Linked DNA regions of Tribolium castaneum. The protein of the gene in region 1 purifies or fractionates together with the protein of each later gene. This does not show direct contact. Links are inferred from orthologs where the notes say so. Each region holds a gene or a part of one and is shown on either strand. Other genes may lie near its edges.

Region 1 (8,044 bases):
AACACATGACATTACAAATGTACCATTTAAAAAATAAAATCGTCCTGTTCCAAGATTTTTTAAAAAGTGACCATTAATATTAACAAATGACCATTGGTTCGGTCTGTATATTTATTTATACCAAAAAAGGTAATTTCGACACCAATTTCAAAAATTTCTTCAAATCGTAGAAAAAACGTTGTATGTGTTCAAACTAGAACAGTCTAATTCGTAACTACATTTTCAAAATACCAAAAACTTATTTTTTTTCAAAATTTTTTCGAATCGTTGAAAAAACATTGTATGTGCCTAATCTCCACCAACTTAATTCGTAAGTACATTTTCAAAATTTGCAATATCGAACCATTTCTTTGTTGAAAATTTGTGATTGTAGAAAAAATATTGTATGTGTTTCAGGAGCGGCGCCACCCTCACCCACCTCCTCAAATCCTCCCTCGGCACCGGCATCCTCTCAATGCCTGCAGCATTCAAAGCTTCCGGCCTCTGGCTTGGTGTCATCACCACCATGTTGGTATCCCTAATTTGCACACACACTGCCTATGCTCTAGTCACCTCGGCTCACGCCTTGTACCGCAAAGCGGGCAAAACGTCGATGAGCTATGCGGAAGTTGCCGAAGAATCCTGTCTTCGGGGACCCCCCTGGGCGAAAAAATACGCCTTCTTGCTCAAACAATTGGTCTTATGGGCGATTTTCGTAACTTATTACGCCACAGGAAGTTGCTATGCTGTTATAGTTGCCGAGAATTTCAATTACGTGGCCTTCAACTATTTAGGGAATTTTGATAAAAGAATCACTATAGCTATGTTGTTTTTGCCCTTTTTGCTCATTGCCTACGTGCCAAATTTGAAGTATTTGGCACCAGTATCCATGGTTGCCAATTTTTGTATGGCTATAGGATTAGGGATCACGTGTTATTATCTCCTGAATGACATTCCGTCCATTTCTGACAGACCGGCAGTGACAAATCTGGCAACGTTGCCTGTTTGCATCAGTATAGTGATTTTTGCAATTGAAGCTATCGGAGTTGTGAGTTATTTTTCGAAATTTTTGGCACTTTTTTATTAATAATTCTAGGTAATGCCACTTGAAAACAACATGAAATCGCCACAAAAATTCGTCGGACTTTTTGGAGTACTTAATCAAGGGATGACTTATGTGACCATCCTGTATATAATTTTAGGTTTCTTAGGGTATCTCAAATATGGTGATCTTACGGCTGATTCAATCACGTTGAATCTTCCACGAGAGGAATAGTAAGTATATCGTATACAGGGTGAGTCAAGTGGGTGTGGTGGTATAACTTATGAGTCACCCTGTATATGTAACGAAAAAAATGGTCGAGCGTTTCGAACTCGAATTCGGTTTTTGTTTATCATTAATCGTTTATTGAGCATATTAGCAATTTTTTGATAAATTTTCAAGGCCACAAATCAACAATTTATTTTTTTATTTATCTTTCTGATGCAGAATTAATCGACGATTTCGAATATGTAATCGATTTTTAATTATCTTTGTTGGTTTCTAAATTTTGGCTGAAATTTGTTCGTCTCTAGTTAAGTGCTAGAATATAATTTTTCAAGGTCACATAAATCAACATATTGAACACAGAATAAGGAAAATTCTCCAAGGATTTAGAATATGTTATCAGTTTTTATTTTCCGTTTCTGGTTTTCGTTTTTATATCGAATATTTCGATATATTTTCGAAGAATTGGCATTTACCTATTAAAAACTAATCTTTGAGATACAACCGTAATTTTTGACTTTTGAGCACTGTCTACCACTGGAATTATAATGTTGAAGGCCACAAAAATCAACAAACTGAAGAGAAAAAGTATTTTTGGTACAAAATTATCAAAAGATTTCAAATATGTAACCAGTTTTTTTAACAAATTGTTAATACTTTTTGAAAAAGTGCTAAAAAAAATTTATTTCAGTGCTGCCCAAGCTGTGAATCTCCTTATCGGCCTTGCAGTATTCTTCACTTACGGTCTAGTGTTTTACGTGTGTTTGGACATTTTCTGGACCGAAATCAAGCACCGTTTCACCACCAAAACAGCACTTGCTAATTACGCCCTAAGAACTATTCTTGTGATGATAAATATCATAATTGCGATTCTAGTGCCTGCCATTGTACCGTTTGTCGGTTTAATCGGAGCGTTTTGTTTCTCGATTTTGGGACTTGTATGTCCTGTGATTATCGAAATATTTACGTTTTGGGATCAGGGATTTGGGAAGTTTTATTGGAAATTGTTTAAACATTTGGTCGTTGTTTGTATGGCGTTGCTTGCTGTTGTTTTTGGGTCGAAAGCGGCCATCTCTGATATTGCAAAAACATTTCACTGAAGCTTTGAATGCTAATATAAAGCTCTAATATTTCGAATCTTCGAGAAAAAAAAGGTTATAACGTAAAACTTGACTATTTATTTGTGTTCTTTGTTTGTAATAAAATTAAAATTACTTCTTCTTGAATTGCATTTATTTCATCTTCCCCTTTTTCCCTGTTTATTAAGAAAACAGTAACTCAAGCGATCATTTAAAAATGTTTTCTACTTGGTTTCACAAAGTTTTGGGACAGCAAAATGTCATAGTTATTTCATCTAATTTACACAATAATCTTTTGTTTTCGACTTATAAACAAAAGTTGATGTTTTAGCGAAATCTTAAACAATTCATATCATCCTTATTATAAAAGATATACATTTGAAACAAAAACATTATAGAGGCACTTTTTTACGTAGAATTTAGTAATGTTATCAGAGATTTTTTTTAACAGTTCGTTTAAGTTCAATAATGTAAAGTTGTATATTTTTAAATAGGAATCTTAGTTGGCTATGACATTTTCGAAAAGCTTTTTTTTTGAACTGAAAACAATATAAATACAGCTTGATATTTTTATATTGATAAAAAATATATTTAAAATATTTTAAAGTAGTTGGCCTCGGAAAAATTATTTAAGTGAAGTGAAGTGAAGCAAAAACTCCAAATAAAAAATACTCTTTCTACTTACAGTTATAAAAAATGTTCAGAAAGTCCATCTGCACTTCCGTAACACAGAATCATATCGGTCATTTCAGGATTTGTTTGATTTTTCATGATAATGATCCACTAACACACGAATCAAAGCCGAACTAACAACACACTAATCTGCACATAAGTACGGCGTACCGGCGATAACAGTTTTTGTGCCTTTTTTGCGTGGCGTACTCATCTTTAAATTAAAAAAAATAAAAAAATAAAAATAAGTGTTTTTTTAATATACTCGTACTGTATAACTTGGTCTTGAAATAAGTTATTAAATTAAAAAAAAAATCACATCTTAACCATACAGAATTGAGCTTCACCATCCCTTACACAAACAAGGTAAGAAGTGAATTTGTATTTAAATAAGACAAAAAAAACATTAAACAAATTTTAGGGTGTTAAATAAACAGCGGGAACATTCAAAGCCAAAAACAAATAAGGTAAGACGTTGTATTAAATAATCATTACATTCCAATCAAACATTGTATTTTTAACAGTCTTGTATAACTGGTTGCCTAACACGCACAAAAAATACAATTTTTAAATTTCCCTCGTATTATGTAAGACACCGGCCGGTATTATTTCAACCGTGAACATTTGCAATTACATTTATTTAAAAAAACACAAAAATAATCCTCCCAAAACCCGCCTTTTCTTCATTTTTTATCAGTTTATCACGCACAAAAAGATAAGCGATCCCAGTTGGCACAATTGACAGTTGTGCCCACTTTTGACAGAAATCAAATCGTGTCCAAGTCTCACCAATTTCCCAAAATTTCCAAAAACAAACCCACGATGAAAGTCGTCAAAGACAACGAAAACAAATGGTCAGGATACGGACTTCGCATTTTCCTCAACACCTTATCGCACCCATTCGAATACGCCAAAGTGCTCATACAGGTTAGGAAATTGTGGTGAAAATCGAGCGAAAATTCTGATTGTCTCATTGCAGATCGGATACGAACCCATACCGCCTCACTCGTCCAAAACCCTGCTCGGTAAACCAGCCCTCAAACTGCCAAACATCTTCCAATACGGTAAACCCCCCGAATTTTTAACCGAAAATAAACAGCCCCCTTATTACAGTCAAACACATCAAGTCGGTCGATGGTTTGTCGGGTTGTTATCGCGGCTTGGGCCCCAAAGTATGCGGCAGTTTGATAAATCTTGTCGCTACACAAAAAATGATGGAATATTTGGACTTGAACCAGCAGGACGAAGAAGAGGATACAGATGTTGAGGAAAATCGAAAACAGAAATTTTTGAAGTGTCTCAAGGGCGATATCATTACACATACAACAGCCATAATCATCAGTCAGCCGTTTCACGTCATCACTATACGAATTATGGCACAATTTGTTGGAAAAGAAGCCAAATATGTGTAAGTTTAGTTTACTGTATTCGATTTTAGGGGAGATTATTATTTTTGGGGGGTTTACAGGGGTGTGTTTGGTTCCATTGGTGAAATATACAGACAGAATGGAATTTTGGGTTTTTTCAGCGGACTCATACCCAGACTGATTGGGGATATTTTGTCCGTTTTGTTGGCAAGCAGTCTGACTTATGTTGTCAATAAGTATCTAATAGAAGAGAAGGAAATACAAAATTATACTTCAGCCGCTGTGTGTGTAAGTGAATTTAAAAAAAAACACAGTTGGTGAGCCCGACTGTCATTCAATGAAATATTGTCCCAGCGATTTGAAAAAGTCCTATATTATTGAAAAGTATTTTTTATAAAAGTAACTCATATCTGGAAAAAGTCTGTACACTTGAAAATAATTTCAAAGGTCAACAATGCACTTTTTCAAAACACAGAGATTATGGCCGCACTGTTGCCAATATTTTGACTAAAAAATAACTAAACCATTTATAGTATTTGTTGTTCAAGAATCACATTTCGCAGATGGTGTCCTCATCAATAATGTACCCCTTCCAAGTGGTGTCAAATTGCATGGCTGTCTCGAATTCGGGTTTGTTGGCTGGATCGCCCCCTTATATGTTGCACTACAACACTTGGATTGATTGTTGGAATGATTTGTCGAGTCGTAATCAATTGAAAAGAGGGTCTAGTCTTTTGGTTCGTTATTACAAGGGTCCTTCGTTGATAACAAGTAAAGGCAATCTACTCAAGGGCAACTAAATTTCATGTTATTCAGTAGTTGGATTTTTTTTCATTACAAATTGACGCAATTGTATGTAAATATTTAGAGTATTGTGTTATTTTACAATAAAATTCTTGTTCAGATTTTAATTGGAGTTTTTTTTATTAAGCAAGCAAAAACTTTGGCTTTAACTTTTAAAATGTGCGACTTGATATAAAGGTAAGTTAAAGTTGGATTAAATCTTTAGTTTCTTTGTTTTTTATTACACCCTGTACATATTTCGAAAAAAAGTGTTTATCCCCATTTTGTTTCTTTAGTTTACAGTTGCTGAAATCAGTAGGACGCGTTCTTGCAAAAATTAACAAAGTCGCTACACGGGTAGGAGATTGAAAAAATAAAGTTTGAAAAGTCAAGGAGTTTTCAAAAAAGAAAAAAAGAAAAAAAATTCAATAAGATTACAAGGAATATTTGTCCCCACTTCATTTTTTTACAAGCCAAGGCCCTACTGGAGCGCTTTATTACTAGCAAAAATATTTATTATTTACACGGTAAAAGCGTTGCGAAAATTAAGTTCTAAAATTCAAAATAATTTTGAAAATAAAAAGAAAAAATCTGTTAGGTTTTAAAGAGTGTTTACCTCCACTTGATTGTTTTACAGTCGAACACTATCCAAGAGCTTTATTTCCTGCAATAATAAACAAAATTGCAGTACGGAAAGCCGGTTGAAAAAAATGAAGTTTAAAAAGTAAAACATTTGCAAAAAAACAAAAGAAAAACATTCAGTAAGCAGAATGTTTGTCATCAATTAATTTTTTTACAGTCGAAAGTCTCATGGCTAGGCTATATATTCCTTGCAGAATTGAACAAAATCAATAAATGGGAAGGGGGTTAAAAAATAATGTTTGAAAAATTAAAATATTTTCCAAAAAAAAAAGAAAAAAAAATAGGTAAGGCCCCAGGGAATATTTATCCACACTTAATTTTTTTTACAATCAAATTCCCATCATCAGGCTTTGCTTCCTACAAAAATTAAAACACGAAAAGGGAGTTGAAAAAATAAAGTTTAAAAAGTTGAGATAAAAAAAAGATTGTAAGGTCCCAAGGTCTTAAATTAATGGCTCTACTTAATTTTTTTACTGCCAAAAGCCCTTTATTTCATACAAAAATAAACAAAATCGCTACAATGAAATATTATTTTAAAAGATTAAGTTTGTAAAGATAATAATTAAAAAAAAAAATCAGTAAAGGCCCAAAGAGTTTTTAATCAATAATCACAGTTAATTTTATTACATATTTTTCCCAACTGCTAAAAATTGCCAAAATGGCAATAACGCCATTTATCAGTTAATTTTGACAATACGGTTATTTCACCTGAGCCGGCACTGACTTAACCCCGCCACTGCACAACCCACCATGACAGTTAATTTTGACACCTCTTCTGTCAAACAACCGTCAAAAAAAGCGTGTTTAATCATTAAAATCCTTAAAAAAACGCCCAGTTTTTTAACAAAATGGTAAGTAACGACTCACAATCAATCGAAAAAAACGCCCCACAACCGTAAAACATTACATTACCCCACAATTTCACCCACATATTGTTCGCTTAAATTTAACCTCAAAACCCCCACAGAAACCCCTTCTACTCCACGGCCACGAACGTGCCATCACCCAAATCAAGTACAACCGTGAGGGCGACCTCCTCTTCTCCTCCTCAAAGGACAACAAACCCAACGTTTGGTACTCCCTTAATGGCGAGAGGTTGGGAACCTTCAACGGCCACCAGGGGGCTGTCTGGTGCATCGACGTCGACTGGACCACCACTAGGTTAATAATAATAATAAATTTATTGCTGCAATAAAGCAAATGGGTGCGCGATAAGGTTGCCTCAGTAGCGAATATACAGGGTGCCTCACCTAATACTTTTGAGCCTGATATCTCAGTTATTTGTCAACGTATTTTTATGAAAATTAAAATGCAGATATTTAGGAAAGTAAAGATTAAAATCCAATTAATGCAAAAACTGAAGTCTTAAAATCGTAATTTTAAAATTAAAATTAATAAAACAGATATTAATCTCGAAAGTTTTAGGTGAGACACCCTGTACAAGTTTTGATTAATTTGCTTTTACTGATTTAATCAAATACTACTTAGACCAGAAATATCACCTATTTTGCTACTTTTTAAACTATTTAAACTTTATAGGTTCCTGTCAGGTGCCGGTGACAACACCCTTAAAGTATGGGACTGTGAAACGGGCAAAGAAATCGGGAACATCTCAACCAATTCATCAGTCCGAACGTGTCTGTTTAGCTACTCGGGCAACATGGCAGTGTACACCACCGACAAAGCCCTCAAACACAACTGCGAGATCTTCATTATTGACGTCCGTAACGTGGACGAAAGCATCTCGCACGCCGACCCCATTTTACGCATCCCGATTAAAGGTTCCCGTGTTTCGTCAATCCTATGGGATAACCTGGACGAAACTATAATAACCGGGCACGAAAACGGGGATTTGATCAAGTGGGACTTGAAGTCAGGCAAAGAGATCAGTTCAACACGTGAACACGAACATTTAATCAACGATATGCAGTGGAATAAAGACGGGACAATGTTTGTGACAGCGTCCAAAGACCACACAGCTAAACTGTTCGACGCTGCTGATTTGATGTTACTGAAGACTTACAAGACAGAACGGCCGGTTAATTCAGCTGCCATTAGCCCCATTTTTGAGCATGTGGTTGTGGGCGGAGGGCAAGATGCCATGGATGTGACAACCACGTCGGCAAGGGTTGGGAAATTTGACTCGAGGTTTTTCCATATGGTGTTTGAAGAAGAGTTTGGGAGGGTTAAAGGGCATTTTGGGCCGATTAATAGTGTGGCGTTTCATCCAGATGGCAAGAGTTATAGTTCAGGAG
Region 2 (5,196 bases), about 12 Mb from region 1:
ATGTCGGTATAAGGAAATCATACAATCTACATGTTGATGCAGAATTATCTCTTCAAGTTAGTAAAATATAAATTAAAGCATTTCATTAGAGAAAACTGAGTTATAGCTACACAACATTCTTCAAACTACTCAAAAAAAGATCTACGTTATATTTTCTAAAATAATAAAGATTCAAATCGAAAAGAGTATAAATCCATTTTTTGAAATACATACATACTCGTATTTCCAAAAAGGGCTAAACTTAGGTGTTGGTAAACTTGATAAAAAAGCCTTTTATATAATAACTCGTATAAACCAAAAACAGAATAAATAATCGTAGTTTTCTTTTTAAAAGCCTTAACAAAGGCCTAATAGACTCGTATAAAGGCTATGTACTTTAAATAATTAATTTAATTTAAAAATAACTTATTTTTATTGTTGCTCAAATTCTACTCATATTGCCGTCACGACTGTTAGACGTTGCCACAAATCATTTATTTAAAATTCGTTATTTATCAATAAGTTTAATACCAAGATTTTTTTACTATTTTTATCTTTTATGTAAGTAATTCTCTACCACACACCATTGATTTGGTGCACCGGTTTTTGGAGCATCTTCTATAATTGTAAATTTAACTAATCCCTTTGGTTCTATTTTTGATTTTGATTTTTTACTTGAAACCTTAGTCGTAAAAAACTACACATACTCTACATCCATTTTATTAAGCAGACTTTTACTCATTTATTACAGTTTAATACTTATGTTACCCCCACACATCCCCATATTTATTTTTGATTCCTTCTGAAACATCTGACGGTGTCGTAGGACCAGGCGATGGTGGAGGGGCACTCTTTGCAGGTTCCCTGTAACTTAAAGTTCGTTTCTGTTGGTATTCCTCTCTGTTCTTTTTTCTCAACTCATCGTAAGTAGTCACTTGTTTCTGAACTGGAGGCATTTCTTCTTCATAAATTGGATCTACAACAACTATATTTTAGCAAAGTGACCCAGTGTGACCAACTTAATTTCAAAATCACTGATCATTACAAATTAATTAAGAGAAAAAACAACGCAACTTACTATCAATTGAGGGTCTTTGCGCATCATCTAATCCATCAAACTGTGGTCTGCTAGTATCAATATCAACACTATTACCAGGCCCTAAGTCAGTGTAGGTATCTGATGACGAGATACCACTGAACGGCCCTAAAGACATTCCAGGCCCAAAACCGGGTTCTAAACTAAAACCCTAAACTTTACTAAGAATTTAAACAAATTCCAAATAAGAAACCTCTCCTGGAAAGTGCCTTGTCTCCTTCTCCTCAACATTTCACCAATTTGACTATTTGGCAATTGCATTAGTTTTTCCGCACATTTCGTCTGATACGAAAATTTCCCGAGGAAGTATCCCACAATCACTGAAACCGTGACTTTGGGGAAAGCCCCAAACCGGGGATTACCCCGAAGGTAACCTACAAATGTCACTTTTTAGCATGTTCTTGTCAATTTAAACCCACCTGCTTTAACTCCGTAATAAGTGGAGACGCCTAAAATAGCACCGAGAGGCAAGCACCTCTGGTAAAAACTCTCCCGGTTACATTCTTTTATAACTCGCACCTCTTCTGGGCTAAATTTGTACTAAAAAAAATACTAAAGTTTGTTAAATTCGGTTGTAGACTACTCTAAATTACGTATTGGCGGTGCCTTGGATCAGATAAGTGCTGGCCCTCAGGTTCATCCCCTCGATTTGGCTGCATTTTAGATTTTAAAACCCAATTTGATAATTTCTAGGTTAGGTTAAATCATTTTTGACATTTGGCCTTGACTTGGCCCCTGGCGGTCAAAAATTGAATTAAATTCAAATTGTAAAAAATGAAAAAATGTTAAGACAGATGCAGGAAATGGACAACAACTGTCTGGGGTCGTATAAGTTATTCCCGATTTAGTTTTTGAAATAATTAATGTGTTAATCACAAGATTTAGTCTCGATTTGTCATTGACGCAAGTTTCATGCGCGCAGAGATTGTCTGGTCGACTGTAATGTTCATTCCCCGACATACGCAAGGTGGCGCTGCGTATGTGGGTCTGTGTCACTTGTCAAAAGTCACCATCAAAAATAATTCCTTGAGCGAACGTAATGTCTGTTAATTATATGCTTTGTGGATGATCAAGTTAATTAATTTGAGTGTTTAGTTCCCACTATGAAATTTTGATACACATTGTGTTGTTTTATCAAGACAAACTAATTGAATTCACGTTTGACGATAGTCCTTGTAACCTGAATCATCACAGGTAAATTAAAACTAAAATACTGAGAAATGGCAACTGGAACAACGTTACAAAAAGCCATAGAATTAGTGACAAAAGCCACCGAGGAAGATCGCAATAAGAATTATGAGGAAGCACTTAGGTTATACGAACACGGAGTAGAGTATTTCCTTCATGCCATCAAATGTGAGTTGTTGTAACAAAGTTGGTAAAAACCCGTTTAATTTAACTTCCAGATGAGGCACAAGGCGAAAAGGCGAAAGAAAGCATCCGAGCCAAATGCTGTCAATACCTGGAAAGGGCCGAAAAAATTAAAGAATCCCTCAAGAAGGGCAAGAAGAAACCTATCAAAGATGGAGAATCCGATTCCAAGTATGTTTTTTATCTTATCGTGTGCACTAAACCCAAAATTGTTCTCCAGGGATGACAAAAAAAGTGACAGTGATAGTGATGGCGATGACCCTGAGAAGAAAAAACTGCAAAACAAGCTTGAAGGGGCTATTGTTGTGGAAAAGCCCCACGTGAAATGGTCGGACGTTGCGGGGCTCGATGCCGCCAAAGAAGCCCTAAAGGAGGCGGTCATTCTCCCCATTCGGTTCCCCCATCTTTTCAGCGGGAAACGAGTCCCTTGGAAGGGAATTCTCCTGTTTGGTGTAAGTGTTGACACGTTTTCTCCAGGCCTCCAGCCGTAGCAAAATTCAGTAAAAGTTATACAGTTGTACAGAACCCGCTGAAATCTAATAATCTACGTTAAAACTTACAGCGTTATTTTTTACTTACTAATCTTGTGGGGAAAATAGCGTCCTCAGATACAATAACGTAAGGTTGAAAAATAAGTGGTGGAGAGCTGAACTTGTAAAAATTAAAAACACCGGATATTATGCAACATTTCGTTTATTTACAATCAGCAGGCTAAATATGTTTTCTAATTTTTTCTTTAGCCTGATGTGTGTTGTTAATAGACGTAACGTTGCATAACTATCGTTGTTTTTATTCCTATAAATTCTCCCTCAATTATTTCATGTTCTGTGTACCCAAACATTAGAGCGGCGAAGTCAAAAAGAGGGAGCTTTTGAAGTTAAATTAAACTAGTTCACTAATTGCTTGAAAAAAATGGATCCTGAGCGTTTCATTCTTAATAGGGTGGGAAAAAGTGAACGACTAAAAGTTTTGCAAGAAATATGAAGAAAATACATATTAAAAATTTAAATTTTGCGCAGCGCCTCATATTTTCCAAAACGTAGCGGAGACGGTCCAGAAAAATGTAACAAAGAGAGTTGTAGATAATAAAATTTTCTGCACAAATTCTGCGAGACTTATTTCTTTACATTTTTAATAGATTAGGCCCCAAAAAAATCATTTCCTCTAAAGCGAGGGATTTGTAAAATTTTTTCTGGTTATTATTGAATGCTGGGATATACTTTAAAGCAAAACGCTTGAAGAAAATAAAGATAATAACGACTATGGACTTTTCCACCAGTGGCGTACTCATACAGAGTGAGTCAATTACATTTATCGGTTATATCTGAAATTTTCTTAGATGCAACGATGCAACCAATAATTGGTTAAAGAACTTACGGTTTTTACATTTAAAAAATACGAAGTTTATAACAAAAATTTACTATACTTTAACCACTATCACGTGATTTCAATAAGTTTTTTGATAATATTGGTAGGCTAGAAAGTGTTAGACTTCTTGGAATAAAAGACTCAATCAAAACTGGAGAAGAAGTACATGATTTTCAATATCTAATAATTACTAAATATTTACTCCAGATGATACTGAGAAAAACCAGGAAGGTTGCTATTTTAAACAATTTTTGCAAAGCTGTGGTAATGTAATATGTAGATGTGGTAATATTTGGCAAATTCTCGTCTTATACATATAGACCCTAATAGAGTCCGCAAAACGACAGATCTAAGGATAAAACCTTTTTTGTAATAAACGCGTTTTTACTCGTTACTCATTGCGTATTTTTTATTTATTGCACTTCCTTGCTTTGTATTTCTATGAAATCAACCTGTATTAGCATTAGATATGATTTTTATTATCTTATCTTGCTATTATTGAAAACAGGAAATAGTAAATAATAAAAATTATAAATCCCAAACCCTTCTTGATCATAGAATAGTTTTTTGCTACGCCACTGCTCAAACTCCTCACTCGATGAAGTACGCATTGGCTCCGCCTATCGTGGACGTTCTTAGAGTTCGCCAGGTCTACCATACAAATTATAAATTCAAATGACCACATATGGCACTGCTATTTGTTTACACTGTTTAGAACTGAATTTTTAGTCATTGTGGAGGGAATAACAAATGGAAAAAATTCATCGCTACACGAAAATCGTCAATTTTTTTTATCGTAAAAATAATGTCCGGTGTCTACAAAAGTTTATACAATTTATAAAGGAAACAAATTGTTTTAAAAAACTAAAGCGGCTGTTGTTCAATAATGTGAATTATTTAATTTTTTGATCCAGTACCGTCATGATATCAACAAGGTTCTTTCTAAAACCAAAAAAAATTCTGCTCAACCACTCAGTTTACTGCTAAAAAATACAGCTATAATTTTAACTATTCTTAAATTGTTTCCTTTGCGATTGTACTTCTATTTCCATTAGAATTTCTATTACACTTCACAATTTGTTAAAAAATACTCTTTTCAGAATTGTATGGGAGTGTTAAATTTTACGACGGCCTACTCGATTCTTTTTGTCTCCAAAACTATAAATATCCATCAATAAAATTTTACAAATTAGACAAATTTGTAGTAGAAAAAATGCCATGCAATGGTGCAATAAAATATAGGGTGTTGCATTAAAATAAATCGATCGAGTTATTGCCATTTGTAGTTTGTCATTTGCAGAAAATCATAGTAGGCGATGAAATATCGATTCCAAGTTCGCTTTTTTGCAAAAAAAATGCGCTAAAGCTTAGTGAATCGAATG

What was found. The genes of interacting proteins can lie anywhere in the genome.
Region 2: the proteins of mitochondrial carrier homolog 2 (region 1) and asrij purify together in Homo sapiens (affinity purification with mass spectrometry; 3 studies listed by BioGRID and IntAct, with this or other methods). This does not show direct contact. The link is inferred for Tribolium castaneum from reciprocal best matches to the Homo sapiens genes MTCH2 and OCIAD1.

Annotation. Positions count from the first base shown.
Region 1 is NC_087394.1:749,076-757,119, reverse strand, and holds mitochondrial carrier homolog 2, read left to right. Parts: upstream 1-3,598; 5' UTR 3,599-3,819; coding exon 3,820-3,924; intron 3,925-3,976; coding exon 3,977-4,061; intron 4,062-4,110; coding exon 4,111-4,405; intron 4,406-4,465; coding exon 4,466-4,652; intron 4,653-4,897; coding exon 4,898-5,164; 3' UTR 5,165-5,275; downstream 5,276-8,044. Other genes in the region: proton-coupled amino acid transporter-like protein pathetic, read left to right, coding at 397-1,027, 1,076-1,254, 1,938-2,346; eIF3i (eukaryotic translation initiation factor 3 subunit I), read left to right, coding at 6,638-6,640, 6,757-6,950, 7,329-8,044. UniProt on the Homo sapiens protein: Protein insertase that mediates insertion of transmembrane proteins into the mitochondrial outer membrane. Catalyzes insertion of proteins with alpha-helical transmembrane regions, such as signal-anchored, tail-anchored and multi-pass membrane proteins.
Region 2 is NC_087394.1:12,529,366-12,534,561, reverse strand, and holds asrij (OCIA domain-containing protein 1), read right to left. Parts: upstream 1,828-5,196; 5' UTR 1,735-1,827; coding exon 1,669-1,734; intron 1,616-1,668; coding exon 1,495-1,615; intron 1,450-1,494; coding exon 1,269-1,449; intron 1,219-1,268; coding exon 1,058-1,218; intron 956-1,057; coding exon 744-955; 3' UTR 684-743; downstream 1-683. Other genes in the region: Vps4 (vacuolar protein sorting-associated protein 4), read left to right, coding at 2,296-2,431, 2,482-2,617, 2,667-2,898. UniProt on the Homo sapiens protein: Maintains stem cell potency. Increases STAT3 phosphorylation and controls ERK phosphorylation. May act as a scaffold, increasing STAT3 recruitment onto endosomes. Involved in integrin-mediated cancer cell adhesion and colony formation in ovarian cancer.